Oryctolagus cuniculus: one gene and its partners. The protein of the gene in region 1 binds, or shares a complex with, the protein of each later gene. Links are inferred from orthologs where the notes say so. Each region holds a gene or a part of one and is shown in the gene's direction. Other genes may lie near its edges.

The links.
Region 2: the proteins of GIGYF1 (region 1) and EIF4E2 are in contact, whole or in part, in a crystal structure (PDB 5NVK), measured with the Homo sapiens proteins. The link is inferred for Oryctolagus cuniculus from reciprocal best matches to the Homo sapiens genes GIGYF1 and EIF4E2. Residues at the interface, in NP_001362694.1 of Homo sapiens: Leu36, Ala37, Asp38, Tyr39, Arg40, Tyr41, Gly42, Arg43, Met46, Leu47, Leu49, Tyr50, Glu53, Asn54, Lys55, Val56, Pro57, Glu59, Leu60, Glu64, Phe65, Ala67, Val68, Leu69, Gln70, Asp71, Glu72, Pro73, Leu74, Gln75; in NP_004837.1 of Homo sapiens: His54, Pro55, Leu56, Gln57, Tyr64, Lys83, Gln84, Ile85, Gly86, Val91, Glu92, Trp95, Arg96, Phe97, Tyr98, Ser99, His100, Met101, Val102, Arg103, Leu107, Phe113, Ile137, Arg138, Leu139, Arg140, Gly142, Leu143, Ser145, Arg146.
Region 3: the proteins of GIGYF1 (region 1) and TNRC6C are in contact, whole or in part, in a crystal structure (PDB 7RUQ), measured with the Homo sapiens proteins. The link is inferred for Oryctolagus cuniculus from reciprocal best matches to the Homo sapiens genes GIGYF1 and TNRC6C. Residues at the interface, in NP_001362694.1 of Homo sapiens: Tyr479, Asp481, Pro482, Gln487, Phe490, Trp498, Tyr503, Phe504, Leu508; in NP_001136112.2 of Homo sapiens: Arg1719, Pro1720, Pro1721, Pro1722, Gly1723, Leu1724, Thr1725.

The regions. Positions count from the first base shown.
Region 1 is NC_091450.1:42,864,410-42,874,593, reverse strand, and holds the start of GIGYF1 (GRB10-interacting GYF protein 1), read left to right. Parts: upstream 1-4,086; 5' UTR 4,087-4,109; intron 4,110-4,125; exon of another isoform or gene 4,126-4,280; intron 4,281-4,650; 5' UTR 4,651-4,697; exon of another isoform or gene 4,698-4,815; intron 4,816-4,837; exon of another isoform or gene 4,838-6,356; 5' UTR 6,357-6,425; intron 6,426-7,291; 5' UTR 7,292-7,520; intron 7,521-8,086; 5' UTR 8,087-8,354; intron 8,355-8,455; exon of another isoform or gene 8,456-8,481; 5' UTR 8,482-8,555; coding exon 8,556-8,590; intron 8,591-8,685; coding exon 8,686-8,815; intron 8,816-9,397; coding exon 9,398-9,493; intron 9,494-9,580; coding exon 9,581-9,692; intron 9,693-9,796; coding exon 9,797-9,905; intron 9,906-10,184. UniProt on the Homo sapiens protein: May act cooperatively with GRB10 to regulate tyrosine kinase receptor signaling. May increase IGF1 receptor phosphorylation under IGF1 stimulation as well as phosphorylation of IRS1 and SHC1.
Region 2 is NC_091434.1:6,901,516-6,911,061, reverse strand, and holds part of EIF4E2 (eukaryotic translation initiation factor 4E type 2), read left to right. Parts: intron 1-1,800; coding exon 1,801-1,915; intron 1,916-5,301; coding exon 5,302-5,436; intron 5,437-8,227; coding exon 8,228-8,332; intron 8,333-9,546. UniProt on the Homo sapiens protein: Recognizes and binds the 7-methylguanosine-containing mRNA cap during an early step in the initiation. Acts as a repressor of translation initiation.
Region 3 is NC_091448.1:3,390,913-3,401,258, reverse strand, and holds the start of TNRC6C (trinucleotide repeat-containing gene 6C protein), read left to right. Parts: upstream 1-3,500; 5' UTR 3,501-3,750; coding exon 3,751-3,818; intron 3,819-10,165; exon of another isoform or gene 10,166-10,346. UniProt on the Homo sapiens protein: Plays a role in RNA-mediated gene silencing by micro-RNAs (miRNAs). Required for miRNA-dependent translational repression of complementary mRNAs by argonaute family proteins.

The DNA.
Region 1 (10,184 bases):
CACGGGGAGAAAATGTTTGCAAATCACTTAGGCAGCAAAGGACTTGTATCCAGAATATATAAAGAACTCTCTATGCTCAAGAAGTCGGCCACAGACAACCCAATTAGAAAATGTGCATAGGCCGGCTCACTAGGCTAATCCTCCGCCTTGTGGCGCCAGCACTCTGGGTTCTAGTCCCGGTCGGGGCGCCGGATTCTGTCCTGGTTGCCCCTCTTCCAGGCCAGCTCTCTGCTGTGGCCAGGGAGTGCAGTGGAGGATGGCCCAAGTGCTTGGGCCCTGCACCCCATGGGAGACCAGGAAAAGCACCTGGCTCCTGGCTTCGGATCAGCGCGATGCGCTGGCCGCAGCGCACCAGCCATGGCGGCCATTGGAGGGTGAACCAACAGCAAAAGGAAGACCTTTGTCTCTGTCTCTCTCTCACTGTCCACTCTGCCTGTCAAAAAAAAAAAAAAAAAAAAAAGGAAAAAAAAAGAAAATGTGCAGAAGTCTTAAAAAATTAATTTATTTGAAACGCAGAGATACAGAGAGAAAATGGGAGAGACACACACAGAGAAGTCTTCCATCTGCTGTTTCAGTCTCCAAATGGCCACAATGGCCAGGGCTGTGATGATCTGAAGCCAGGAGCTTCCTCTGGGTCTCCCACGTGGGTGCAGGGGCCCAAGGACTTGGGCCATCTTCTGCTGCTTTCCCAGGCCACAGCAGAGAGCTGGATGGGAAGTGGAGCAGCTGGGTCTCCATCTGGCGTTGAATAGGGATGCTGGCACTGCAGGCGGAGTCTTTACCAGCTACGCTACAGGGATGGCCCCAGGTCAGAAGCCTTGAGTAGATACATCAGGAGAAGGGGGGGTGGGTAACGATGGGGCTAAAACAAGCGCATCTCAAGATGTCAGTTCCGGGGCAGGCGTGTGGCCGCATGAAGTCAAATGTGTTCCCGTATCAGAGAGCAGGTTCCAGTTCCAGCCACCCAGCCTCTGATCCAGCTTCCTGCTAATGCATCCTGGGAAGGCAGCAGAGGACCGGCACAACTGCTTCAGTCCCTGCCACCCACGTGGGAGTTCCAGAGGGAACTCCAGGCTCTTAGCTTCAGCCTGGCCCCTTGCTAGCTGTTGTAGCGACTTAGGGAATGAACTAGCAGGTGGAAGATAGCACTTCCTCGCGCTCTCTCTCTCTCTTTCTCCTCTCCCCCTCCCTCGATCACTCTGCCTTTCAAGTAGATGAAAATAGATACACATTAAAATTAAAAGCTGTACAACTGCATCAGCCTTTAAGGAACTGTGCACGAAGACCAGGAGGAAGCAGCACCACCGCCTCCCCAGAGTGGCTAAGATACAAAGTATCCACAACTCGAGTGTGGGAAGCAGGCAGGCAGCCTGGCGCTTGCACACAGGGCTTGTGGACCTGAACCATGGAGCAGGTATTCCGGAAAACGGCTTGGCAAGTTCTTCTTTGTTTAAGATTTATTTATTTATTTTAGAGGCAGAGCTACAGACACGGACAGGGAGAGACACAGAGAGCGTGAGGTCTTCCATCTGCTGGTTCACTCCCCAAATGGCCACAACAACCGGAGTTGGGCCAATCCAAAGCCAGGAGCTTCTTCTGGGTCTCCCACGCGGGAGCAGGGGCCCAAGGACTTGGGCCATCTTCTACTGCTTTCCCAGGCCATAGCAGAGAGCTGGATCAGAAGTGGAGCAGCCGGGGCTCGAACTGGCCACCTATGTGGGATGCTGGCATTGCAGGTGAAGGCTTAGCCTACTAGGCCACACACTGACCCCTGCAGTTTCTTCTAAAATGAGACAGACACCATATGACTCGGGAAAAAGCACCCCCGGACATTTAAAAACCTGCACAGTGGTGGCCATCCACAGTTTTCTTTGCAATAGCTCCAGGCTGGAAACAAGGCAGAGGTCTTTCCGTGCAGGAATTGGTAAACCACGGAATGTCCACACCACGGAATACTGGACAGCAATGCGGGCTGGGTTAGGGATGCCTGTTGTGAACACTGGTTATGTCAGCTTTTATTTTAGTTTTATTATTATTAATTATTTGACAGGCAAAGACACAGAGGGAAAGGGAGAGACAGAGAGAGAGTGGTCTCCCATCCACTGGTTACTCCCCCAGATGGCCACAAGGCCAGGAGCCAGGGGTCTCCCATGTGCATGGCAAGTACCTAACAACTGATTTCCCCAAGAATACCCCTCTTCCGATGCTTTCTTTCCCGGATGCATTAGCAGGGAGTTGGATCGGAAGCAGAGCAGGTGGGACTCGAACCAGGGCTCCGACACGCAATGCCAGTGTCGCGAGCCGCGTTCTAGCCCACAGAGCCAGCCCCTAGGGCCGCTAAGCAGGACAGCAGGACCTGCGCCTAGATGCAGGGGCATGCACGGGATTCCGCGAACACGCCGCCCCCTTGCGGGGGTGGGAGGAACAGCCTAGGGTTTCCAGAGGTAGCGAGGACTCAGCCGAGAATGTCTGACCGCGGAGCCCACGTCCTGGAACGGGGAGGGGGCGCGTGTTGAAGCCCTGAACCCCGGGAGGGCAGGCGGAGACCAGCACAGCCTGAGTGGCAGGAGGAAACCCTGGGAGATCTGGCTCCTGGAGCGAGCAGCGAGCGGCTGCGACACGGGCTGCCCGTGGGTGATAAATTCATGATGATGGGCAGGTGCACTTAGCAAGCCGGGGGCCAGTGCTGACTTGCCAAGGGGGTCTATTTGCTCCACCAAAGAACCCAGCTTGTGGCAGGGAGCAATTCTGCACGCACGCAGTTAACGTGAAGGCCCATCCTGTGTCATCATTAACAACAAGCCCGGTTAATGAACAATCTTCAGGATGCCTAAAATATGCCTTAAAAATCTTTGCTGTCCAGGGGTGGGCGCTGCGGCCACATCGGAGCGCGGGTTTGAGTCCCTGCTAGCCCCCCACCTCTGATCCAGCTCCCTGCCAATGCACCTGGGAAGGCAGCAGGTGGCGGCCCAAGTACTCGGGGGTGGGAGACCCAGATGGAGTTCCCGGCTGCTGGCTCCAGCCTGTCCAGCCCCCTTGGCTGCTGTGGCCATTCAGGGAGTGGCTGTGGCATAACGGGTTAAGCTGCAGCCTGCAGCACCATCATCCCACAGACACCTACGGTATCGGCTGCGCCACTTCTGATCCAGCTCCCTGCTAATGCACCTGCGAAAGCAGAGGAAGATGGCCCAAGTGCTTGGGCCCCTGCACCCACGTGGGGGACCCAGAGGAAGCTCTTGGCTTCAGTCTGGCACAATCCTGGCTCCCGTGGCCATCTGGGGGAGTGAAACAGCAGATGGAAGACTCTAACTCTGCCTTTCAAATAAATAAATATATGTATATATATATATATATATATAATTTTTTTTTAAGGCAACGGAACTGTAAGAGGCGACGACAGCGGTCAGAAACTCCAGGTGTCACCAGCCAGCGGGGCCTCGGGCCGTTTCTAGATCGGCAGGGGTTTTGCTCATTTCCTATATCCCACGAGTTCATCAGAACAGTGTTGCACTTTGTCTCCTCCTCCAATCCAGGAGGGCTGCTTGGAGGAAGCCGGCCGGCCAGAAGAAACCCGGGATGCCCCTCACAGGCCGCAGCTGCCATCCCCAGGGGCGCGGGTCACGTGCCGCGGGGGCGCGCGCAGGCAGCACCCCGGGGACACCCCTTCCCCGGCCTGCAGCCGGGGGCCCCGCGTCACGTGACGAGCCGGGCACCCGGGTCACGTGCCGGGGGTGGCGGTGTGAGGCTAGACTCGGGGGCGGCGGGCGTCCGGGCTGCGCCCCGGCGGGCACGCGGGGAAAGCCAGAGGCCCGGGGGTGCGGGTCCGAGCGGGCCCCGGCCGCGGCGGGCGGCGGCGGGCGGCGGCGGCGGCGGAGGGGGCGGCCCCGCGTCCGCGTCACGTGGTGCGAGGCGGGCAGCCATCTTGCTACAAACACAAACAGAGAGGAGCGGCCGCCGCGGGAGCGCCAGCGCCCCCTCCCCCGCCGCCGCCGCCGCCGCCGCCGCCGCCGCCGCCCCCCGGCCCGCCGCGCGCCGCCGCCCGCCGCTCGCCGCCCGCCGCGCGCCGCCAACGCCCCAGGACCGAGCCCTCGCGCCGCCCGCCGGCCGCGGTAAGCGCTCGGCGGCTCCGCGGACCCCGGCCCGCAGCCGGCCCCGGGGCAGGCCCGCCCCCGACGCCGCGGCGGCCGCGCCGAGCCAGCGGGAGCCGGAGCCAGCGCGCGGGCCGCCGGCACGGACTCTCCCCGTCTCCTCCCGGAGGCCGCCGCCGCCTCCGCCGCCCGGTGCGTCCGCCCTCCGCCCCTCCCCGCCGCGGGACCCTCCCCCGGAGCGGGCCCGCCTCGGCGCGGGCTCGGGGTGGGGGGGCGGCCGGCGCCCCTCCCTGAAGGGCACGCCGTCCTCCCGGCCCGGCCCGCGCCGCCCACCCGCGCGCTGCTAACGGTCGCCCCTGCGGAGCCCTGCCCGGGCCCCTCCCGCCCGCGGGGCCCCTGCCCCGGGCCCGCGCGCCCCGGGCCCCGCGGGGCGTCCAGGGCGGGCGCTCCACGACTCGGGCCGACCTGGAAGGCTCCCCCGCCGCCCGTGCCCCCGCGGTGCCCCGACGGTGCAGCAGCGCCCCGGGCGCTCACACTTTGCCTTTTCCTCGCGTAACTTTAGGGAGACCCTCGCCCCTGGTCGTCCCTGGAGTTGCCACCAGCGTCCAGGTCAGCGGCATCCCGGTGCGGGCGCGGCCGAATAAATACTTGCTGGCCGGATCCTCCCTCCAGTCACCCCAGTCTCGCTCCGCTCTTGCTTCTCCAAGCGCGGCTTTCCCGAGCACCGGTCAGCGCCACTGCCCCTCCCGGCTGACAGCTGGCCGCGGCGCCGGCCCCCACCCCCCCTTTGCTGCCGACCTGTGGGAGTTTGGGCCATGACTCCTGCCCCCTCCACCCCAGCTGCCCGGGTTCTGTGGGTCCTGGTCCCCCCACTTGGGGAGAGTTCAGGGCAGAGCTGCCTGGAGCCCCCGGGGACCTCGGGGGTCCGCTGGGGCGGTGATAATCAGGTGCGGGGGTGTGTGCCTGGGCTGCTGGCCACACACGCGTTGGTGCCGCGTGTGACACGGTGCTCAGGGGCCCTGGTGTACGTCGGGATGGAGTTTGGGAAAAGGAAAAGTAGCCCCACTCTGAAGGAGAGAGCGCGGGGAGAAGAGGAAGGCTGTGGGAGGGCTTTGAAAAGTCTAGCAAGAAATGTAAGCATGGCTCAAGCTCTCCGAGCGGGGGGCCAGCGGGGGAGTTTGGGACGGCCCCTGGCCCGGTGCACACCTGCCCCAGCCTCAGATGCTGGGTACCTGGTCCCAGCCCCCGTGCCCTCCCTTGTTGTCCCTGGCTGAGCAAGTGGGCAGAAGGGATCAGATGAGGTCAAGTGTGACAGTGGCTCAGAAGTTAACAGGCCCACGATTGCCAAGGGCTGTTGCTGTTGGGCGGGATGGCTCGGCCGGGAGGAACCCTCACCCCACCCCTCGTGGAGAATCTGCATCCCTAGGCAGGACCAGGTCACCTCCAGGCAGGTGTGGGGCTGTGCCGAGGCCGGAGGCTGCTGGAGGGAGTCACCAGACGCTGTTCTTAGCCTAGCCCAGCGCTCCAGGTCCATGCAGCCTGGGGGGAGCGCCTGGGACCAGGGTGCGTCCTCTCACCTCTCCAGTAGGGGGCAGCAGTGAGGAGCTAGGGGAGCAAAGGTACACTGAGGCAGGAGAGAGAGGACCAGGGAGGGGGCACACAGCTCGGACATAGGCCAAGTGCAGGGCCAGGAGGAGTGTGGCAGGCCAAGGTGGGCTTTGAGCAGCCTGCAGGAGAGAGACGGACGTGGTCCTGCCCACCCCCACCTGCCACCTCTCCCCTCTGCTTTGGTGGTAAGGGATCCAGCTGCTTGGGCCGCAGAGTTTGTGATAAGCAAACTTGGGACCTTCGAAGGTTTGCCTCCTGGCAGGATTTCAGATTCCTCTCGGGACAGCTGTGCAGAGGGAAGATGGGGGGAGGGTCACATCTGCTTTCTCTTCCATTAGGGCTGCGAACCCACAGGGCTTCTTTGCCCCCCTTACAGTCACTGCCCACATTGGGGCCAGAAACGCCTTTGTCAGGGGCTGCTCCGTGCACCCTGGTCCCCTGCCCGTCTGTTCCCCTCTGCTCAGGTGCCACCGCCCTGAGTGGCAGTCCCCTGGGGAGCAGAGGCAGCCCCCCCCCAGAAGTACCCTGCTCCCCTAGTCCTGTTAGTGTGAGGAGGGGGCGGCCCCTTTCCTGCCTTGCCCTCTCTGTCCCCGGGTCTCCCCCAAGGCGTGGGTGGGTTGGGCGTTTGCCCCAGTCTGAGCCACTCCCCTCCACTTCCAGCGGGACAGAGAGGACAGGACACGGGCCACCGAGGAGCCCTGTCTGCACCGCTCCCTGGCAGGCGGGAGGGTGAGTCACCCCTTTTTCTGCTCTCTCGGCTTCTGCCTGGCAGCCTGGCCCGGCCCCTGAGACCCGTGTCTGGCCCTCTAAGGCTGAGCTTGTGTGAGGGATGGGGCTGGTTTTTCCTGGAGTGGAGAAGCCTCGGGTCTCAGTACTTTTCCCCTGAAAGCTTTCTCTCTGGTGGTGAAATACGTGTAACTTGAGCTGCGTTTGTTTTAAAGATTTGTTTATTCGTTTACTTGAAAAAGCCACAGAGATCCTCCATCCACTGGTTCACTCCCAGGTAGCTGCCCCGTCCGTCCGGGGCTGGGTCAGGCCCAAGGCCAGCTCGCAACTCCTGGTCTCCCACGCGCATGCAGGGGCTCAGGCACTTGGACCATCTTCCGCTGCTTTCCCAGGCCATAGCAGGGGGCTGCATGGGAAGTGGAGCTGCCGGGACTCGAACTGGCGCTCCAGTGTGGGGTGCTGGTGTCACAGGTGGCAGTTTAGCAGTTTAGTCTACAGCAGCACAGCGCGGGCCCGTGAGCCACGGTTAGGCAAGCTCTCTGCAGCTTCGGTGCAGCCAGCACCGCCATTGTCCCCAGCGCTTCCTGCCCCCCGCACCCACCGTGTGCTGTGCCTCTGTGTGCCTGCCTTGCCTGGGAGCCTTGCCCACGAGCAGGCCTGCTGTGGCTGCCCCCTCGTGCCTGGAGGGTCTCAGCGTCCCGGCCTCCACTGCACCGCGCAGGAGGCCGTGGGGTACTTGGCCTCTCTGCTGGCTTTGTGTGCTGTGTGCCCTGAAGGGAGACGTTCCCCTGCCCCGGGGGCCGCCACTCCAGGGGCCAGCGTCTCTTCCCGGGCCCCTCCAGAGGGAACCCACTTCTCTTCCTCCCCAGGCTGTGGCGTCCTGGAGTGCATGGTGCAGGCAGAGACAGGCAGCTCCAGCCTCCCTCCCAGCCAGTGACGGAAGCCCCTGCGCCTGCCCCGACGCCTCCCCACTGCCCCCAGAGTCCTGTGCTCGGTCCACCAGGGATGCACCTCCTCCTGGGGGTCTCCCCTGTCCTTTAGAGGAGCCGGTCACTGCCTCCCGTCAGCCTCTGACCGTGACCTTCTCTCTGGTTTATGGTGAGGAATCCCTTGTCGCTATTGCTCTAAGAACTGTGCCCCCTCGGCTTTTTTGGTCGACTGACCCTGACGTGGGGCCGGGGGCCTGGGTCTGTCTGCCTGCCTGCTTGGTGATCCGGCCCGCCATGCACTGGGCCAGGCCAGCAGCCTGCAGCGAGTGCCCCTGCGTTGGTCCTGGGCAGCCTCCTTTCTGACAGCGTCCGTCAACTCCAGCCTCCAGGCAGCCCATCCGGATTCCTTTCAAGAGACAAGTCATTTTGCTCCCAAATTCCACCACTGGCCTCCTCTCCCTGGGATATTTGTGGCTCCAGTGGGGTTTTCGTTTGCTTGTTCTTATCTTTGCCCTGATGTCCACCTTGATCTTGGTTACGTCTGTTCCTAAACTCTGTGCCCTGCCCTGTCTGGACCTCCCACTGGGAGTGCAGAGGAGCTGGTGCACACTGGGCACCCAGGGGCCTGCGCGTGTGCTGGGCAGTGTGGGCCTCCGGTTTATGCAGGGTAGAGGAGGGCGGGGGCAGGGAGGCTGTGGGCCCCCGTCCCTCTCAGCACCTGCCTCTCTCCTCAAGGACTCTTCCCAGATGTGAGGGTCCCTCCCGGACACTGCTGAGGCCAGATAGATAGCCAGTGGCTTGAGGACCCGAGTTCACTCCAGTGCCGGCCCTTTCCGGAGAGAGCCCAGCCCTGCCCTCCCGCTGCCCAGGGGCAAGGCCGCCGGGGGAGGCTGGGCCCAGGCAGCACGGCTGTGACCACCAAAGGCCTCCAGCCCCCAGGTCTTGCCCACCTGAACTCTTCTCGGGTTAACTCATGGTGTGTGCAGCCACGTGGCTGGTGTAGGTGAGTCCTTTCAGAAGCTGGGTGACCCAGCCCAGCCCGAAGCCTGTCCCTGTGCCCGCGGGGCCGGTCGCCCACGATGCAGGTTTCTCCGCTGTCCCCAGGGTCCGGCCTTCTCTGTGCTCCACAGGTGTTTGGAGCGTGAAGCCCGGGTCCTTGCTCGTCACTCACCCCTGACCTCCAGGAGCCACGCCCAGCCTCAGCATGGCGGCGGAGACGCTCAACTTCGGGCCCGAGTGGTGGGTCAAGTGTGCGGTGGCGGGCGTGGGGGGGCCAGGAGGAGAGCACGGCGCCCCAGCCTCGTCCTCCTCTGCCCCCCCCCCACCTGTTCCAGGCTCAGGGCCCTTTCCAGCGGCGGCAGTGTGGCCTCCCCGCCCGCCTCCCCTGCCATGCCCAAGTACAAGCTGGCTGACTACCGCTACGGGCGTGAGGAGATGCTGGCCCTCTATGTCAAGGAGAACAAGGTGGGGGCTGGGGGGCGTTGCTGTGGCTCCACTGCTCGTGGCCTGGGGCAGCTGGAGAACAAGGTGGGGGCTGGGGGGTTGCTGTGGCTCCACTGCTCGTGGCCTGGGGCAGCTGGAGAACAAGGTGGGGGCTGGGGGGGGGTTGCTGTGGCTCCACTGCTCGTGGCCTGGGGCAGCTGGAGAACAAGGTGAGGGCTGGGGGGGTTGCTGTGGCTCCACTGCTCATGGCCGGGGGCAGCTGGAGAACAAGGTGGGGGCTGGGGGGGTTGCTGTGGCTCCACTGCTCATGGCCGGGGGCAGCTGGAGAACAAGGTGGGGGCTGGGGGGGTTGCTGTGGCTCCACTGCTCATGGCCGGGGGCAGCTGGAGAACAAGGTGGGGGCTGGGGGGGTTGCTGTGGCTCCACTGCTCATGGCCGGGGGCAGCTGGAGAACAAGGTGGGGGCTGGGGGGCGTTGCTGTGGCTCCACTGCTCGTGGCCTGGGGCAGCTGGAGAACAAGGTGGGGGCTGGGGGGGTTGCTGTGGCTCCACTGCTCGTGGCCAGGGGCAGCTGGCGCCGTGACCCACCAGCCCCATCCGGCAGGTCCCTGAGGAGCTGCAGGACAAGGAGTTCGCTGCGGTGCTGCAGGAGGAGCCGCTGCAGCCGCTGGCCCTGGAGCCCCTGACGGAGGAGGAGCAGGTGGGCGGGGCTGCGGTGGGGGTGTGGGAGGACAGGCGGGGCGGCGGGGCGCCTGGGTCCTCATTCCCGCCCTGGCTCCCTCCTCAGAGAAACTTCTCCCTGTCAGTGAACAGCGTGGCTGTGCTGAGGCTGATGGGGAAAGGGGCTGGCCCCCAGCTGGCCAGCACCTCCCGTGGCCGGGGCAGCTCGCGGAGCCGAGGTACAGGGGTGACTGCTTGGTGGGGGGTGGGCATGGCTGGAGCCCGAGCACTCGCAGGCGTGTCCTGGCAGGGTTCACACCCAGGTGTGTCCCCTCTTCCCTAGGCCGTGGCCGAGGTGACAGCTGCTTTTACCAAAGAAGCATCGAAGAAGGGGAGGGAGCCTTTGGACGGAACCCCCGGGAGATCCAGCGCAGCCAGAGCTGGGATGACAGGTGGGGGCCGCTGGGAAGGTACGGGCAGCCCTGCCAGGGAGCCCTGGTCAGAGACCTCTGGGCCCTGCCCCGCCCCTTATCCTGATTTTTTTTTTTTTTTTAAGATTTACTTTAATTATTTGAAAGACAGTTACAGAGAGAGGTAGAGAGAGATTAGTCTTCCATCTGCTGGTTCACTCCGCAAATGGCCGCAATGGCTGGAGCTGAGCCAATCTGGAACCAGGACCTTCTTCGGGGTCTGCTATGGGTGTGTGTGTGTGTGTGTGTGTGTGTGTGTAT
Region 2 (9,546 bases), on another chromosome or scaffold:
CTTCCTTGGTGCGTCCTGCTGGCTTTCTCTGCTTTTGCTCCTTGTCTGAGTCCCTCATGGCTCTGCCTGAATGGGGTCCATCTGGCTGCTGCAGCTCCTGAATCTGTCATCTCTCCTTGCAGATGAAATGCTGAGCGAGGGATCTACTCATGTTCTTTCTAGCAAGGCCCTGACATAGGTTATTGGCCAGGCTGGAATGCCCTTTAGTCTGGTAACCTTCCTGGCCGCGTCTCGGCCGAGGTGGAAATGGGGCGTGGACACCTGCGTGTGTCCACAGCAAAGACTAAAATGGGCAGAGCGGGTGCCCAAACACATGTCTGTCTCATCCATTCTAATATTTTCCTAAATTTTCATTCATTTAGAGCAGCATGGGGGCAGGCAGGAGGATCGTCTGTCTGCTGGTTCACTCCCCCAAATGCCAGAAGCAGCCAGACCTGGCATAGGCTGAACCAGAAGCCTAGAACTCCCATCAGGTCTCCCATGTGGGGGGCAGGGACCCAAGTACTTGCGGCGTCACCTGCTGCCTTGCTAGGTGCACGTTAGCGGGAATGTGGCTCGGAACGGCGGGGGGGCGGGGCTTGGACCCAGGTGCTCTGATGATGTGGAATGGGTGCTTCATGGGTGCTAGGTGCTTGAGATTCATGGGCAAAAACCGAGCCGCAAATAGAAAATATTCCACAGCATGTTTCTGTATCTGTGTAGCATGTACCTAAGTTATAATTGGGCATTTCTGGTCTCTTTCTTGAGAATTGCCTAATCCCATTTGTCTGTGTATATAATCATGCGTCCAAAAGAGGATTTGGAATAGGACCCATGATGAGTTAGAGGCCCAGCTCGGCAATAAACGACATTCTCCCTGCTCTGTGGCCGCACCTTCCTTTTATTTTCTCTGGATCTGGTGCACTTTAGGTGTACCTGAAAGTCTTGGTTTCACCACTCCTGAGAGGTGGCCCTTACAACAGGTCAGACTCCGTGCTGTGAAGCGAGAACACTCGAATTTGTTGTTTCAGGCATTTATTTTTCCCTTTACTCTGACGCTCACTCGGCATCTTCTTGGCTGTGTGTTAGGGCCGCATCTTCTGGCCCTTACGTGTTGGTCATCCTGAGATGAAGTGAGACACTGCTGCGCGGAACCCTCCATCTAGTGGAGCGAGCGCACTGGCCTCCAGGCTGAGGGGGCGTGTGCGGACGCACCGTGTGGGCGTGCAGGCTGCAGGGCTGGGAGTGTCAGCCAGCCGCACTTGCGTTTCTTTACCTCTGTCCTGAAGGGCAGGCATCAGGGGTGAGAGGCAGCTGAAACAGAGGTAAGGACAGAGGTTAGCCAGATGTGCACTCAGAAGGACCATGCTGGTGATGGTGACGACACAGAGGGTAGAGGGAGCGAAGACTGGGGTGAGGGCATTCACAGAGAAGAGGCCTGAACCTGCGCATGGCAGTGCGGAGGGATGGGGAAAAGGGGCAGTCTGTGGGTAAGTTTCCAGCTTCCATCTGAAATGCCAAAGCAGTGGTCTAGTCAGAAATTCTGCTCATTCCTGGTGCAGAAAGCAACCCCTAGAACTGTTTCCGTTACTCCCTTTAAGCGCTCTTTGTGGCTTGTTAGAACGCAGAGCGCGCTTCCTGGGGGTCACAGCTCATTCTTGTTCCACCTTCCTGGTTTGCCTGCGCACTCCCTTGTCCCTCTCACCTCGCAGGGCTCTCGGGGCTGTACCCTGAGTGAGTTCAGCGTGGCTGCGGTAGCTGGCTTGGTAGGGAAGCAAGAGTCAGCCTAGTTGTGAACGGCGGTGTTTGCTTTCCCTTCAGCCTGAAAGACGATGACAGCGGGGACCACGATCAAAATGAAGAAAACAGCACACAGAAAGATGGTGAGAAGGAAAAAGCCGAGCGCGAGAAGAGCCAGGGCGGCAGCAAGAGGAAGGTGGGTGACGCCGCCAGACGCGGCTTCCTGCGTGCTGCAGGCTGCGTCTGGGAGGGGCAGGTGAACTTAACAGCACCCTGTGTTGGGATACCTGCTTTTGTTCTCATGAAAGGATTGTAGAGGCCTGGGGGCTCATTTTGGGGTTAGGATTTCTTGGTTGACATAGGATCTTAGGTGTCGCCTTCTCCTGGCCTGGGAGTTAACAAGGCCGGTGGCTGCTTCATGGTCCTGCACAGCCCGTGAAAGTTTGACCCCTGCAGTCAGTGATGGTCTATGTTGACATTTCACTTGCAAAAGAGAAAATGCAGAGAATGACAGATGGATCCGTTTTTTTTCCTTGAAATAAAAAATAGTCACTAATTCATTTATTCTGCATTATTGAGTTCCCTCCGAGGGGTAGCATTTTATGCTAGGTGCTGAGAAGACACAAACGTGAATTAGACTGTGGGTCAAGGAACTTTCATTTCTTTTTAATAAGATGTGTTTATTTGAAAGGCAAAGTCGCAGAGAGATGGGGGTAGAAGGGGTGCGTGTCGCTCCCCCTCTTCGTGGAGGAACGACACTAAGCCCTGCCTAGGCTTCATATCCGAGTCACGGCACCATTATGTTGCTCCCCCTCTTCATGGAGGAACGACACAGGACCCTGCGCTGTTCTTTCGTCTGCTCGGCCCTCCCCGGGTTTGCTGCTGGTTCTTCCCAGGTTGGCTGCTGGTCCTTCCCGGGTTGGCTGCTGGTTCTTCCCGGGTTGGCTACTGACCCTTCCACCTCCGTGGAAGGGCGGTTCCCCCTGCCACATTCCCCACTTCCGCGGGGGAGCGGTACACCGCTGGCCGGCTCTCTCGGGGGCTGCACAGGTGTCCCCCTTAGATGTTCCTGGTGCATGTTGTCTCTCTCCTCCTTTATAGTCCTCTTCCACCAATCCCAACTCTGCTACCCACACGCCGAGTACACTGCTCTCCTCCAATCAGGAGCAGGTCCTGCAGCTTGTCAAGTTGGTGAGAGGCAGCTGTGTAGAAGCTGGTTCCTCCTCTCCCAGCGCCATATTGTGGGAGAGCAGATGCATAGAATAAGTCTTAATTCGAGTAACTTAGTCTAGTCCGAGTTGCTCCCAGTTGCTCCCCACAGGTGGGAGAAGAGAGGTCTTCCGTCCACTGGTTCACTCCCCAAATAGTGACAGCAGCCGGGCCTGAGCTAGGCTGGAGCCAGGAGCCAGGAGCCAGGAGCTTCCTCCAGGTCTCCCATGTGGGTACAGGGGCCTAAACACTTGGGCCACCCTCCACCACGTTTTCAGGCCAACAGTGCAGTAGCTGGATCAACAGTGGAGTAGCCAGGACTCACACCGCTACCCGTGTGAGATGCTGGAGCTGCAGGCAGCAGCTTTACCCCCCGTGCCACAGTGCTGCACCGCTTGTTTTTAAAAAAAGATTTATTTTTATTATTTATTTTAAAGACAGAGTTACAGAAAGAGGGAGAGTCAGAGAAAGAGAGATCTTCCATCTGCTGGTTCCCTCCCCAAATGGCCGCAATGCGGGAGCTTCTTCCAGGTCTCCCACGTGGGCTCAGGGACCCAAACACTTGGGCCATCCTCTACTACTTTCCCAAGCACATTAGCAGGGAGCTGGATTGGAAGAGGAGCAGCCAGGACTTGAATCAGCATCCGTATGGGATACCGGCGCGGCAGGCAGCGGCCTTACCTGCTATGCCACAGCAGTGGCCCCAGAACTTGCGTTCATTTATTTACTTTTGCTTTTTGTTTTGTTTTGTTTTTTAGGAAGAGAGAGGCAAACTAATTCACTCCTCAAGTGCCTAGAACAACTGGAGTGGTGCCAGCAGCTAGGAACTCGGGCCAGGGCTCCTAACTGGGTGGCAGGAGCCCAGTCCCTTGGGCCTTCACTGCTGCTTCCCAGGGTCCCTGTTAGCAGGAACCTGTAGTCAGGAGCTGCGTCTCAACCCAGGCACTTGGGCGTGGGCTGTAATCATCTGAACTGCCAGGATAAACACCCGCCCCAGGGCTCACGTTTGATATGAGCATTGCTTGCTTGCTTTTTTTTTATTTCAAAAAAATTTTTTTAATAGAAAACTTTTATTTAGTAAATACAAATTCTGAAAGTATAACTTTTGGATTCTAGCAGCGGTTCTTCCCCCGCATAACCACCCTCTCACCCGCAAACCATCCCATCTCGTACTCCCTCTCCCATCCCATTCTTCATTAAGATTCGATATGAGCATTTCTAATAGTGGCTGACACTTAACTGAGCTCCTCCTCAGTGCTAGGCTCTAGCTAGGCCTCTGATGTCCTGCCAGCAGCCCTGTGGAGTGGTGGCGGTTTTCCTCATTTTGCAAGTAAGAAGCTGAGATACAGGGGTCAACGCTGTGGCTTGGCGTCTTAAAGCCCCTGCCTGCAGCACCGGTGCTCCAGTACCTCCCAGCCCCACTGTCGACCCAGCTCCCTGCTAAAGCGCCTGGGAAAGCAGCAGAGGATGGCCCCAGTGCCTGGGACCCTGCACCCACCTGGGAGACATGGAAGAAACTGCTGGCTTCTGGCTTCAGCCTGGCTCAGTCCTGGCTGTTGTAGCCATTTGGGAGTGAATCAGTGGGTGGAAGATCCTATCTCTCTCTCTCTCTCTCTCTCTCCCCCCCTCCCTCTCCCCCCTCCCCCTTCCTCCCTCCCTCATTCTCTCTGTCTTTCAAATAAATAAATCTGAAAAAAAAGCAACAGGTGAGGTACTAACAGGTAAAGCATCTTGCCACTAATAAGTGATAAAGAGCGTCATAGAAGAAGCAGTGCTAGACTGGACATAGGTTAAGATAAGATGCAAGGCCGGCGCCGCGGCTCAACAGGCTAATCCTCTGCCTTGCGGCGCCAGCACACCGGGTTCTAGTCCCGGTCAGGGCGCCGGATTCTCTCCCGGTTGCCCCTCTTCCAGGCCAGCTCTCTGCTGTGGCCAGGGAGTGCAGTGGAGGATGGCCCAAGTGCTTGTGCCCTGCACCCCATGGGAGACCAGGAGAAGCACCTGGCTCCTGGCTTCGGATCAGCGAGATGCGCCGGCCGCAGCGCGCTGGCCGCGGCAGCCATTGGAGGGTGAACCAACGGCAAAGGAAGACCTTTCTTTGTCTCTCTCTCTCTCTCACTGTGCACTCTGCCTGTCAAAAACAAACAAAAAGATAAGATGCAAACAGATAGCTGTGAGATGAGGTAGAAAGTCACAGAAGCCACCCCAGCAGTGCGGGGCGGAGAGTGGGAGCTCACTGTGTAAGCAGGCGCCTGGGCGTGTGCTCGTGCTTGGTGTTTTGTCCTCTCCGCTGTGGAAGCGGTGAGGGTGTGCTGTGAAGTCTCTGACTCGGAGCATGTGGCAGACCAGGGCTGACAGACCTCTGCTCCCCAGGCTGTTGTCCCTGGACCGGCAGAGCACCCCCTGCAATACAACTACACGTTCTGGTACTCCAGGAGGACCCCGGGCCGCCCCACCAGCTCCCAGAGCTACGAACAGAACATCAAACAGATCGGCACCTTCGCCTCTGTGAGTACCTAGTGGGCCAGGGCGGGCCTCGGCGTCCGCTCGGCCGTGCCCGTCGCGCTGGGTGCTCGCCCTCTTGGTGACCCGTGTAAGGTGCTGCTTTCTAACTCGCTGACCGAGCCCCCAGCGGCAGATGTGTTCCCTCTGAGATGTCGTATTTGACATCCAGAGTTAGTAGGTGGTATTGATCAGAAAGGCATAACAGAAAAGTACAGTTTTATCTTTCTGTCTTTTAAGTACGTATTTATTGAGTCCTTAGGACATGCAGAGTGTCCTGTGGTCGTTACACGTGGTGTCCATCTTCGTAGAGTTGCATGGTAAAGTCAGAAGCAAAGTTTCAAGTTTCCTTTGTATTTAAGAACCTCTCATTAGGGTTTTGGCCACAACTTTTCCTTTGTTTTAAAAAGAAAATGAAACCTCCGGTCACTGCTTCTGTGGGTGCCATGGGCACAGAAGGCCCAGGCTTCGTCTCATCCCCCTCCTGGGTGACAAGACTTGTGTGTCCCAGGAAGCTGACCGCAGCTGACACCAGGCGTGTTCGGCCAGGGTCCGTATGTGCTGCTGTGTGCCGTGCACTCCCTCTCTGGGCAGAGTCAAGTGCAGGATTTGTCGCTTTCTGGAAATGACTGAGGCATTTATCTTGAAGGAGAGCACTGCCATAGGCAGTAACCATTGCAGTGAACTGGTGAAGAGAGGGTAGCAGCCACAGGCGTTTCACCTGTGTGGTTTTCTTCATTTTGCTGCCCCATGAGGTCAGTTTTACAAATGAGGAACCTGAGGCGGGGCCTCCATGTCTAAAGTCTCAGATCAGCCGTAATTCGCTTGGGCTAGTTAGGGAGCCAGGCTTGGTTGTCAGCTTCCAAAGCCCTTACCATGCACCAGAATACAAAACAGGCACCATGCACGAGCTGTTTGTGATATTTCAGAGAAAGCCTGCATTTATTAATGAGAAGGCTGTTCAGGCCAACCAAATGAGATCCCCGCCTTGGGCTGAAATTCTGCCAAGTTGGTCTTGTAGTGCTGTGGGTCTCACACTAAGCAGGTGATCTGATTACCAGTTAAATATGGACATCTGATGTTCGATCAGTGGAAAATAAATGTAGTCGGCATGTCACCAGCATTTTTAAAACTGGAGCCGCCTTGGAGGAGGTGGGTTTGAGATTGAATTTAAAGAATCTGAACAGGTGACGAGAAGAAAATTCTAACTTTGGAAATACACACTTCTAACATTCCGGAATGCATTACAGAAGTTTTAATTGCCTGAACAACAGTGAACTAAAAATAAAAAAGAAACAAATTTTGATTTCCTGTTCTGTGGGAATGATAGAACACGAAAATGACATTCATTCATTGTGTTCTGAGTGACTGTTAACCGCTTGAGGAATCAGAGACGAGACTGGACTGAGAAGTACATTTTCATTAAGAACCCTGTTAAATTATTTTAGAATAAATATAAATATGTCCAACATTCTCATTTCTCTCTTGTAAAAAAAAAAAAAAAAACCCAGGGCCGGTGCCGCGGCTCACTAGGCTAATCCTCCGCCTTGCGGCGCCGGCACACCGGGTTCTAGTCCCGGTTGGGGCGCCAGATTCTGTCCCGGTTGCCCCTCTTCCAGGCCAGCTCTCTGCTGTGGCCAGGGAGTGCAGTGGAGGATGGCCCAAGTGCTTGGGCCCTGCACCCCATGGGAGACCAGGATAAGTACCTGGCTCCTGCCTTTGGATCAGCGCGGTGCGCTGGCCGCGGCAGCCATTGGAGGGTGAACCAACGGCAAAGGAAGACCTTTCTCTCTGTTTCTCTCTCACTGTCCACTCTGTCAAAAAAAAAAAAAAAAAAAAAAAAAACATGAATTTACCCAATTTGTACATGGAGGGTGTTATGGTCTTTCCTTTAAGCTCATATGTTAAACTGGGAGATTGATCAGGCACGCCTTCCTGGGTGAACACTTCTTCAGGACTCACTGGAAGTGTGACCGAGTGCTTGGATCTGCTGTCGTGTTATTAAGCGCTTTAGGAAATGGCTCATTATATTCAATTGCCCGCAGAGAAGTAATTACATTGTGAAATGTGTTGTCAGATACAAAGTAGTATTTCCCAGTGGTCCTTGGTTCTAATCTTTGACAACATTTTGACATTCTTGAAGCCAGCATGACTAAGCAAGCAGTATCCTGAAACAGCAGAGGACTAGGAGGGGTTACAGGCTCTCATCTACTCTGATGCTGGGTTCCGTGGGCCGGATCAAGGCCTGAAGCCGCCTTTTCAGTGATAAAATGAAAAATAGTAGTTGAGATAGTTTCTGATCTCTTTATTGGACTATAAGCATTTATTTGATTTCAGGTAGGACTTTCGAAAGAAATCTCTCTCTGTCTGCCTTTCAAATACATAATTTTTTTTTTAAATCTTTGATCAAACAGTGATTTGGTTCTGAAAAGACGCATTCAGGCTGAGGCCTGACTGCTTCAGGGGTGTCCACTGTGCCTTAAACTGGCCCCCTTGCCAGTGTGAGGCGTCTCCTGCAGCTGCAGTGGAAGAATGCAGACCACTGAGGCCCCGTTTCTCACCCAAGGAGTTAGTTTTTCTGTTGCCAATGTTTTGGTTTTTACAAATGCAACTATCTGCTAGCTTTTCCTCTAATGTGCCTTCCTTTCTACACAGGCCCTAAATGAAAGTGTATCCTTTGAAAAGAATCAGAGGCAAAGTGTCTTCATGGTCCTGTTGTGCAGTAAACCTGCAGCCTTGAATACAGTCAGAGAAAGAAAAGATACATCTTTTGTTCTCTGGGGTCCTCTCTCTGCAGGTGGAGCAGTTCTGGAGGTTTTACAGCCACATGGTGCGACCCGGGGACCTGACGGGCCACAGTGACTTCCATCTCTTCAAAGAAGGAATTAAACCCATGTGGGAGGTGAGGACTGCGGGCCTCGCCCTGCTTTTCTGAGCAAGTTTATTTTTCCTTTGTTTTCCCCCTACCACAGTTAGAAGTATCTTCAGGTCTTTTCCCAAAGCTGCGTTACAGTTAGCTGGATCCTGGGAGCCTGCGCAGGCGCCACTGCTTATCTGTGGGTTGGTACAGGGAGGTTTGTAACGATTGTTGCCGCTCTAAAATGGTGTTATTAACACTGTGTTACCCTTAGTCCCATTAAACTCACTTGTTTGTGTGTAGTATTTTTACATAGTATACGTGTGACCCTGGAGTCCTGGAGCTGAGCTCGGTGACCTCCGTAGAGCACCTGTGGGCTGCGCTCCGGTGGGAGGCATCTTTTCTGATGCCAGGGCGTTGTTGCAGAAGGCAGCGCCCACCGCCCTCAGGCCCACTGCAGTCGTGCGCGGTCCACTGCTCCCAGGACCTTACCCAAGTTAGATATCATCGTCACCTCCAAGGGCAGAGAGCCTGCCGTTGGCCTCTCCCTGCCTCCCGTCACGGTGCACAGGGGTGCTCTCCAGTGCCCACTGCCCCGTCCCCTGCCTCCCTGGCTCAGCTGGCCTGTTTCCTGGTGGCGCCAGCTGTCCTAGTCCTCCAGAGCGCACTTGGCCTCTGTCAACAGCTACGATCGTCGTGCTGTGTATCAGAAACTTTCTTGTGTGTTGCCCTTGCTGCACAGCATCTGTGTAGAGATCGGGGCTTCCTGTGTGTGTGCTTGGTACACAGTGACCCTCGGTAAACTTGGAGCAAATGCAGTAATAAATGATTTGTTTGGAATCTGGTGTCAATTCATTTTGATTACTAAAATAGTTCCTATGAAAGGTTCCTTAAAGGGTCTGTTGAGCCACTTTTTGTAATGGCTTACAAAAGAGTACTTCAGAAAGTTCGTGGAAAAATGGAATTAAAAGTTTGTGGGGCAGGCGTTGTGGTGCAGTGGGTTAAGTCACCCCTTGGGATGCTCACATCTCGTATTGAGTGCTGGCTCTGGCTGCTGCACTTCCAAACTAGCTTCCTGTGGTGCATCCTGGGAGGCAGCAGGTGACGGCGTAGGTGCTTGGGCCCTACCACCCACATGAGAGAGCTGAGTGGCTCCGGCCTGGCCTGTCCATGGCTGTTGCGGCCATTTGGGAAATGACCAGCAGGTGGAAGCTTTGTCTGTCGCTTCTTTCTTGCTTTCTTTCTTTCTTTCTTTTAAG
Region 3 (10,346 bases), on another chromosome or scaffold:
CCTCCAATTCCAGCTTCCCTCTACTGCACCCTCTGAGGCAGCCAGGGAGGGCCCCACCCCTTGGGCCCCTGCCACCCACGTGAGAGACCCAGATTGAGTTCCTGGCTCCTGGCTTTGGCCTGGCCCAGCCCCGGCAGTTACAGGCATTTTGGCAAGTGAACCAGCAGAGGGGGGAGTCAGGCACTGTGAGCGTCTCTCTCGTGAGCAGCTGGCTTCGCCGGAGGGCTCGTCAGGCACAGGCACAGGCACAGGCGACTCCTCCCTGTCTCTGTGCGTCCACAGGTGACGCAGGGGAGCTCTGTGACACTCTCACTCTCTGTAACTCTGCCTTTCAAATACATGAGTCAGTCTTTAAAAACAAGTCAGTGAAGGCACAGCGGCGAGGTCCAGCCTGCTGTTCAAGACGCCCGTGTCTGGTACCTGAGTGCCTGCTAGCATGACCCGCAGAAGCAGTGGTAGTGGCTCAAGTGGTTCGGACCCCGCCATGCACGTGGGACACCTGGGCTGAGGCCCCCTCTGTGCTTCAGCCCAGTCCTGCATGTTGTACTGTGGAGGACGGGTCACTCTACGACTGTGTGTCTGTCTCTCTGTCTCTCTCTCTCTCCACACCTCTCAAATTAAAAAAATAAAAAAATAACCACCTTTGCTGGCTAACAAATCTGTGTTCAGATGACTGCTGTGGTTTCTAATTCTTGACTACTACGATTGCTAAGACTCCTCCTAACAACAATATTTATCTACTTAAATATTACCCTCTAGGTCCAGGCCAACTGAATAAGACAGATGTGTGGGTTTTCCATTTGCTGTATGACGGGTCACCACAACCTTGGAGATTCAAAAAGCAGATAATGTTAGTCCACAGTCTGCAGGCCGGAGGCTGGCGTGGGGTGACTGGGTGTCTGTCTGTGACGCTGAACAGCCGGGGTCAAGGTGTGAGCAGGCTCTGTGGAAGAATCAGCTTCCCAGCTTGTTTGCAGACCCCAGCTCTTGGCCGGCTGCCGGTGGAGCGGCTCTCAGCGCCTTGACGCAGCTGCGCTCCGTGCTTCCTGCTCGTCGTCTCCAAACCAGCAGCTGTGTGCCCACGCTTTCTTAGGCTTCAGCTTTCGAGACCATCTCTCTCCGACCTCTAAGCTGAGATTTAAGGTCACCAAGCCTACCTGGATGGTGTATCTGACTTGGGATTTGAGTTACATATTTTAAAATACCTTCAAAACAGTACCTGAATTTGTTTGATTGAATATGCGGGAGAGGGTATGTTGACTGTGGACTTGGACTCTTGGAGGGGTCTTAGAATTGTGCCTGCTGGGGCCTGGCGCTGTGATGTCGCGGGTAAAGCTGCTGCCTGGGACTCTGCTGCCCCACGTGGGGTGTTCCTGCTGCTCCAGTTCCAATCCGTCTCCCTGATAATGGCCTGGGAAGCAATGGAAGATGGCCCATGTATTGGGACCTGTGCACCCACATGGGAAACGCAGATAAAACTCCTGGCTCCTGACTTCAGCTTGGCCCTGAGCTGGCCATTGTGGCCATCTGGGGAGTAAACCAGCAAATGGAAGATTCTCTCTCTCTCTCTGTAACTCTGACTTTCAAAATAAATGAATAAATCTTAAAGGGGGGGGGGGGGGCAGCACTGTAGCGCAATGGGTGAACACCCTGGCCTGAAGTACTGGTATCCCACATGGGTGCTGTTCGAGACCCGGCTGCTCTACTTCTGATCCAGCTCCCTGCTGTGGCCTGGGAAAGCAGAAGATGGCTCAAGTCCTCAGGCCCCTGCACCCACGTGGGAGACCCAGATGGAGCTCCTGGCTCCTGCCTCTAGCCTGGTCCAGCCCTGGCTGTTGGGTGCATGTGGGGAGCGAACCAGCAGATGGAAGATCTTTCTCTGTTTCTCTTCCTCTCTGTCACTCTTTCAAGTAAATAAATAGATAAATCTTTTAAAAATTAATTTGTAGGTTTAAAACAATTATAATTTTTAAAAACATTTTTTCTTTTAGAACAAATAATGACTCATTTCATCCAGAAGGGTGAGGACAATCGGGAGAAAACTTTTGAGGTGATGAAAGGAAACTGGTGGTGGCAGAATTCTGAGACTTCAATGCTTGAAGCTTCTTCCAGGTCTCCCACGTGGGTGCAGGGGCCCAAGGACTTGGGCCATCCTCCACTGCTTTCCCAGGCCATAGCAGAGAGCTGGATTGGAAGAGGAGCAGCCGGACTCCACTGGTGCCCATATAGGATGCCGGTGCTGCAGGGGGAAGATTAGCCCATGACACCATAGCGCCAGCCCTGAATATTAAATTTTATAAAAATAATTATTTCAGGGGCCGGTGCCATGGCTCACTTGGTTAATCCTCCACCTGCGGTGCTGGCATCCCATATGGGTGCCGGATTCTAATCTAGGCTGCTCCTCTTCCAGTCCAGCTCTCTGCTGTGGCCTGAAACACATTTCGCACGTTTTACATCTCCAGAATTGCTGTTTGCCTTACATCCAGTGGGATGCGTATAGCAGGGCGTGATCGGCAGCATTTCTTTCTTAGTGATGCACAGAAGCACTGTGCGTCGTCTGTCTGAGGCGTCTTAGGTTGGGTAGAATGCAGTGCTTTGTAGCAGGTCCACCTGGAAGGGCCGCTGTGTAGCTGTGCCGCGCCGTCGTCCTGCAGGAATGGAGGTCCTTCTGCGGCTGCGTAGGCAGTTGGTGCCGCCTTCTCCTTTGAGAAGCCCTACCCAAGTGCTTCTGGTCATGCTCCGTGGAGTCCAAGCTTATGTATCATTCGGTCACCTAACACACAAGCTCAGATGTGTGTGTATACGCATCGCTTTGTTTCAGAAGAGTCACCCTGTATTGGGGACGTCTGCAGAAGCGGGCCGGTGCCCCGGCCCAGAGTCGCCATTAGCCCCAGAACGCATCCTCATCTTCCTGCGGGAAGAAGCTTCACTGAGTGCATCTGGAGCCCTCTCCCAGCCTCCCTGTGTGGGGCCGTGGGTGAGGGAAGACCCTGCAGACCTCCCAGATCCCTGTGTGGGGCCGTGGGTGTGAGGGAGACCCTGCAGACCTCCCAGCCTCCCTGTGTGGGGCCGTGGGTGTGAGGGAGACCCTGCAGACCTCCCAGCCTCCCTGTGTGGGGCCGTGGGTGTGAGGGAGACCCTGCAGACCTCCCAGCCTCCCTGTGTGGGGCCGTGGGTGTGAGGGAGACCCTGCAGACCTCCCAGCCTCCCTGTGTGGGGCCGTGGGTGTGAGGGAAGACCCTGCAGACCTCCCAGCCTCCCTGTGTGGGGCCGTGGGTGTGAGGGAGACCCTGCAGACCTCCCAGCCTCCCTGTGTGGGGCCGTGGGTGTGAGGGAGACCCTGCAGACCTCCCAGCCTCCCTGTGTGGGGCCGTGGGTGTGAGGGAGACCCTGCAGACCTCCCAGCCTCCCTGTGTGGGGCCGTGGGTGAGGGAAGACCCTGCAGACCTCCCAGCCTCCCTGTGTGGGGCCGTGGGTGAGGGAAGACCTTGCAGACCTCCCAGCCTCCCTGTGTGGGGCCGTGGGCGTGAGGAAGAACCTGCAGACCTTCCAGCCGTGGACTGGAGAGGCGGGAGGGCGGCCGGCGGGAGGGCGCTTAAGCCACCAGCTGAGATGTACTCGTTCCATCCGAGTGTCTGGACTCGAGCCCCAGCTCTGCCCCGCTTCTGTCTTGCTGCTGACGCACACCCTTCGAGGAGCAGATGACGGCTCAGGTCGTTGGGTTCCTGCCACTCATGTGAGAGACCTGGAATGAGTGTTAGATGCCCAGCTCCAGCCCAGCCCTGGCCCTTACAGGCATTCGGGGAGGGAGCCAGCAGGTAGGAGCGCTCTTGTATCTGTCTGTCTCCCCCCATCCTACTCCCTCCCTCCCTCCCTCCCTTTCAAATAAATAAAAGTAAAATGTAAAAGAAATTTAAAGGCTTTTTAAAATATGTATTTGTTTATTTGAGAAGCAGAGTTACAGAGGGAGAGACAGAGAGGTCTTCCATCCGCTGGTTCACTCCCCAAATGGCTGCAACAACTGGAGCTGGGCCAATGCAAAGCCAGGAGCCAGGAGCTCCTTCCCGGTCTCCCACGCAGGTACAGGGTCCAAGCACTTGGGCCATCTTCTGCTCTTCCAAGCCACTAGGGAGCTGGATTGAAGGCGGAGCAGCCATATGGGATGCTGGTGCCACAGCCCCGGCCCCAAGAGCATGCACTCTTTGGGGGTGCTGTGCAGTATGGCGGATGCGGTGAGTGACATTTGACTGACAGTTCAGTCACTGTGTGAGCACATGTGGCCTTGAAGGCTCAGGTGGTGTCCATTCCAACAAGGTTGCTTTGAGGAGTGACTGAGATCATGGATCTCAATGATCTGCACAGCCCAGTGCCTAGTAAGTTACAGTTCTTGCTGCCCTTGGGTTTTCCAGAGACTGCGTAACTCGATGCTGGCTGCTTGCTTGTGTGTGTTTCCACTGGAACTTGGTATTTATGGAGGATTCTTTGATTGTCTAAGTTTTGTCTTTGGATTAAGCAAGACCATCAGAAACCTTCACACTTGGACTGTCTCTGGCTGTCCAGAGAACTGCTGAGTTTTCCCATCGGGCTTTTTGACTCGCAGGAGGCTGCGAGAGCGCGTCTAGTAAAGCCGCCACTGCAGATTTGAGGGCCTCAGCGTCGCTGTCTGGGCAAGAGCGCGTCGCCTGTGCATCCGCCGCTCTGAGGACGGAGGCTGTCGTGAGGGTGATCTGGTAAACTGCTAGTTGCTTCCCCGATAGGGCAGATTGTAAGTCAGTGCCCTACACGTATGAACCCGTTACTAGACCTGATTCTGCTCAAGTCTTGGGAGAGGTAAACTCTAGGTGTAATATTGTAAGAAATCAGGGTAGGCATTGTGGCGTAGTGGCTAAGCTGCTGCTTGGAGAGCCTGGGTCAAGCCCCGGCTCCTCTCGTTCCCACCCGGCTCCCGGCTGATGCGCCCTGGGAGGCAGCAGTGAGGGCGCAAGCACTTGGGCCCCTGCCCCCACGTGGCAGACACAGATGGGGTTCATGGCTGCTGGCTTCAGCCTGGCCCAGCCCTGCTGTTGCCACCATCGGAGGAGTAAGCCAGAGATGGAAAGTCGATCAACTGATCTCTCTCTCTCTCTCTCTCTGCCTTTAAATAAAATGAAAACAAATAAAAATTTAGAAAACAAATCAATCAAAATGATGGCAGTTAGCAGGATGTACTTTATGACAGTCTTAGGAAACATTTGCTTTTTGAAATTGGTGCCTGGACATGGGGCATGCAGTACATACAGCCTACACACTGTGAGTATTACAGTTGTTCAAAGGGGCCGGTGCTGTGGCGTAGCGGGTAAAGCCGCCGCCTGCAGTGCCAGCATCCCATATGGTGCCGGTTCGAGTCCCGGCTGCTCCACTTCCCATCCAGCTCTCTGCTGTGGCCTGGGAAAGCAGTGGAAGATGGTGCAAGTTCTTGGGCCCCTGCACCTGCGTGGGAGACCCGGAAGAAGCTCCTGGCTTTGGATCAGCGCAGCTCCAGCCATTGTGGCCAACTGGGGAGTGAACCAGTGAATTGGAAGACCCCTCTGTCTCTCTCTCTGTCTCTGTCTCTCTCTCTCTGCCTCTTCTCTCTCTGTGTAACTCTGACTTTAAAATAAATAAATAATTTTTTTTTAAAAAACAAGTTGTTAAAAGGCGGGAAGTAGCTTAAAAAGTAGAAAGGGCAGTTTGTGACTCTAAAGGGGCGGGATGGGGGGGGGGGTTCCGCGGCCCAGCGGTTGGTGTGCTGTTCCTGATTGCTGAGGGAGGGGCTAGCTCCTGAGCCTAATTGTGTCATAACAGTGCAGCCCATAACAGCATAACAGGACACTTTTCTCTAATCAAGTAGTTCCTCCAGGATTTCTGTCGGGACTTTTTTTTTCTTTTTTTGCAATCTAAACTTGGTATAGGTTTGAAAATAAAATTTTTCTATAATTTGTATTTTTCAGATAAGTTTTCTTCCTCAATGCTGAAATAAGAGTTTTCATATTTCACATTTTTATGAGACATATCAACAAACCTCTTAGTATCTGTGTGTTTTTCCTGCAACAATATAATTTGTCAAATTTTTTTCTATTTAGGTCAACATTTGAGTGCTTTATCAGCTTATTACTCTAATATGTACATTTTTTTAAAAAGATTGATTTATTTATTTGAAAGGCAAGGTGATAGGCAAAGAGTCAACCATCTGCTGGTTCACTCCCCAAACACCCACAACAGCCAGGGCTGGCAAGCCAGAGCCAGGAGCTCCACCTGGATCTCCCCTGGGTGGCAGGAACCCAACTACTTGGGCAGTTGTCTGCACTCCCAGTTGCATTAGCATAAAACTGAATGGAAGGTGGAGGTAGGGCTCAAACCCAGGCACTCTGATGTGGAATGCAGGCATCCCAGATCACTACACACCCCGGCACCTCAGCACGAACCCTTGAAGCGGCCTCTCCCCTTATCCTTGCGTGAAACCCCGGGCTTCACAGATGTCTTGGGGCCAAGGGGCGAGTGGATGATGGTGTCAGGAGGCTCTGCCCAGCCCTGGCACACATGCCTGTTCTACATTAGATCGCAGCTTTGGGCACGCGTTAGCGTAGTGGCTCCTGGAGCTGAGCCCACTCCGCTGACCGTGCTTCCAGCTCGCAGAATCACAGAGACTGAAGGAAGCGTGAGAGACCCTCTGCAGCCCAGCTCTCACCCTGCTGGGCCCCAGGCCCTTCCCTCACCTCAGGGGCTAGTCACTGCTCAGCGTGCATGCTGCTGGCACGCAGTCCTTTTTCCTTCATGACCATCTCTCGAGTTGCCCCAGTACTCTAAAGCTGGTGGAATGTAAAGCTGTTGTGAAGGTAAAAGAAAGTACTGTTGGGGCCGGCACTGTGGTGCAGCAGGCAGAGCTGCCGCCTGCAGCGTCGGCATCCCACGTGGGCGCCGGTTCAAGTCCCAGCTGCTCCACTTCCGATCCAGCTCCCTGCTGTGGCCTGGGAAAGCAATAGAGGATGGTCCAAGTTCTTGGGCCCCTGCACCCACGTGGGAGACCTGGAGGAGGCTGCTGGCTCCTGGCTTTGGATTGGCTCAGCTCTAGCCATTGTGGCCATTTGGGGAGTGAACCAGCAGATGGAAGACCTATCTCATTCCCTACCTCTCTCTGTAACTGTCTTTCAAATAAAAAAAAAATCTTAAAAAAAAAAAAAACAAACATCATTTGTGGGCCATACAAAATCACCAGTTTGAAGACTGGCCTGTTGGAGATTTGATGAATTCTGAGTCCCACCTGCAGCTGCCGTGGCAGGGCCAGGCCAGGTGATTAGCGGGCCGTGTGTAGCTGTGACGTTCCCCGCCCCTCAGGCACATCTATGAATTGTATTTATGCTTGTGTGACAGTATTAAGCAGTCTCCATTTTACTGGCAGATTTGAAAGAGGCTCTAATGTTAGTGTCCTCACGCAGGAGAGCGAGCCTGTGCAGTAGTGAGAATGGGGAGAGTTTGCTACGAAGAATCCCTGGAGTGGGCATTTGGCACAGCCATTAAGAGGCCGCTTGGGATGCCTGCATCCCCAACACAGTGCCTAGGTTCAAGCTTCGTCGTCTTCTTTTTTTTTTTTTTTAATTAATTAATTTATTTGAAAGAGTTACAAAGAGAGAGAGAGAGATCTTCCATCTCCCCAATTGGCCACTCCGCAATTGGCCACAACGGCTAGAGCTGAGCCATTCTTGAAGCCAGGAGCCGGAAGCTTCTTCCAGGTCTCCCACGTGGGTGCAGGGGCCCAAGCACTTGGGTCATCTTCCACTGCTTTCCCAGGCCACAGCAGAGATCTGGATTGGAAGTGGAGTAGCCGGGTCTCGAACCTGCGCCCATATGGGATGCCGGCGCTTCAGGCCAGGGCTTTGACCCACTGCACCACAGCGCCAGCCCCAGAACTTCTGCTTCTAATCCAGCTTCCTGCTGCAGCACAACCTGGGAGGCGCAGGCAATGCTCAATTACCTGGGTCCCTGCCGCCCACATGGGAGACCAGCCTGAGCCCCAGCTCCTGGCTTTGGCCTGGCCCGGCCCTGGCTGTTGACCGGCATTTGAGGAGTGAACCAGTGGGTGGGGGATCTCTGACTCTGTCTCTGTCCATCTGACTCTCTCCATGTCTGTCCCTCTGCCCTGATGAATCAAACAATAAATGTGTAAATGATTGTTTTAATTATTAACTGTAACAAGGACTTAGAGTAATAAGGGACTGGTTAGTGAGAAGCAAAGGAAACAGGAGATTATAGCAATAGCAGAAATAAGGTGCATTCCTGCCCAGGCCCAGAGGGAGCACCCAAAGACAGCCTCCAAGGCTAAGGCCCGGGCCGCACGGGAGCCGCCACAGCCGTGGCTCAGGGGGCGGCAGGGAAGCTGCTGTGGTGCTGTGTAGACAGAGCTCGCTGGGAACCCTTCAGCTGTAGTGGAAGTGTCCAGCCAGGTGCCACCTGCCCAGGCCTGCCTGGCCCAAAAACCCTTCTCCTGCATGCCTCTCCAGTGCCCTCTGCTGAGAGAGCAGTGTGCTGGCAAGCAAAAATTGTTAAAGGTCTTAGGTGGATTTTACAGAACTGGTAAACCGTGAAGTCTGGCGCCAAGAGGCAGTAAATCAATAAGCAGCGCCCCTCCGCCACCTCCAGCTTCATCAGTTGCTGCAAGTGGACACTGAGGGGGAAACAGTGCACTGCCTGCTTTCACATTCTGTAGCGAAGAATGGAATCTTCGTCACTGTCAACCACTCGGCGTGTCCACTAGGACAGCCGTGTCTGTGCCATGGAGTGGCCACAAGGATAACTGTGTCTGTGCCACAGCATGTCCACGAGAACAGCTGTGTCTGTGCCACGGTGTGTGCACAAGGACAATGTGTCTGTGCCATGATGTGTCCGCTAGGACAGCTGGGTCTGTGCCACGGCGTGTCCCCGCTAGGACAGCTGCGTCTGTGCCACGGCGTGTCCGCTAGGACAGCTGTGTCTGTGCCACGGCGTGTCCCCGCTAGGACAGCTGTGTCTGTGCCACGGCGTGTCCCCGCTAGGACAGCTGTGTCTGTGCCATGACGTGTCCGCTAGGACAGCTGTTTCTGTGCCACGGTGTGTCCCCGCTAGGACAGCTGTGTCTGTGCCACGGCGTGTCCCCACTAGGACAGCTGTGTCTGTGCCACAGCGTGTCCCCGCTAGGGCAGCTGGGTCTGTGTCACGGCTTGTCCACTAGGACAGCTGTGTCTGTGCCATGACGTGTCCGCTAGGACAGCCGTGTCTGTGCCACGGCGTGTCCTCTAGGACAGCTGTGTCTGTGCCACGGCGTGTCCGCTAGGACAGCTGTGCCTGAGAGCCAGCTGGAAATTTTCTTCTGCTCTGTGAAGCATTTTCACAGAATGTGTATTCACATGCGATTATATAATTGACTGTGGAAATGGAGTGTTATTAAAGTTCTGCTGTTGGGGCAGCTATTAGGTAAAGCAGTTAAGATGCTGCCTGAAACACCCACGTTCCCTAGCAGAGTGCCTGGTTCTAGTCTGGCTCTGGTTCTAGTCGCAGCCTCCTGGTAGTGCACACCCCGGGAGTCAGAGTGATGGCTCAAGTAGTTAAGTCCCTGCCATCCACAGGGGAGGCCCAAATGGAGTGATTGGTCCTGGCTTTGGCCTGGCCCAGCCCCTGCTGTTGTGGGCATTTGGGGAGAGAACCGGCAGATGGAAGATCTGTCTGTCTCTGTATGTATATCTCTCTCCACTTTTCAGATGAAAAGGAAAAGAAATAATTCTAAATCAAAGAACTACACTTGTGAGGCCGGCGCTGTGGCACATTAGGTTAATCCTCCGCCTGCAGTGCTAGCATCCCATATGGGTGCCAGTTCGAGTCCTGGCTGCCCCTCTTCCAATCCAGCTCTCTGCTGTGGCCTGGGAAAGCAATAGAACCTGGCCCAAGTCCTTGGGCCCCTGCATCCATGTAAGAGACCTGGAAGAAGCTCCTGGCCCCTGGCCTTGGATCAGCACAGCTCCGGCTATTGCAGCCATCTAGGGAATGAACCAGTGGACTGAAGACCTCTCTGTCTCTCCCTCTTTAAAAAAAGAACTATACTTGTAATGAACATGCTAATAGTTATGCTAAAGTAATTTTATAGTGATAAGATATTTATTCAACCCAATTAGTTTTTTTTTTAAATTTTATTATTTTTTTTTTTTTTGACAGGCAGAGTGGACAGTGAGAGAGAGAGACAGAGAGAAAGGTCTTCCTTTTGCCGTTGGTTCACCCTCCAATGGCCGCCGCGGCCAGCGCGCTGCGGCCGGCGCACCGCGCTGATCCGATAGCAGGAGCCAGGAGCCAGGTGCTTTTCC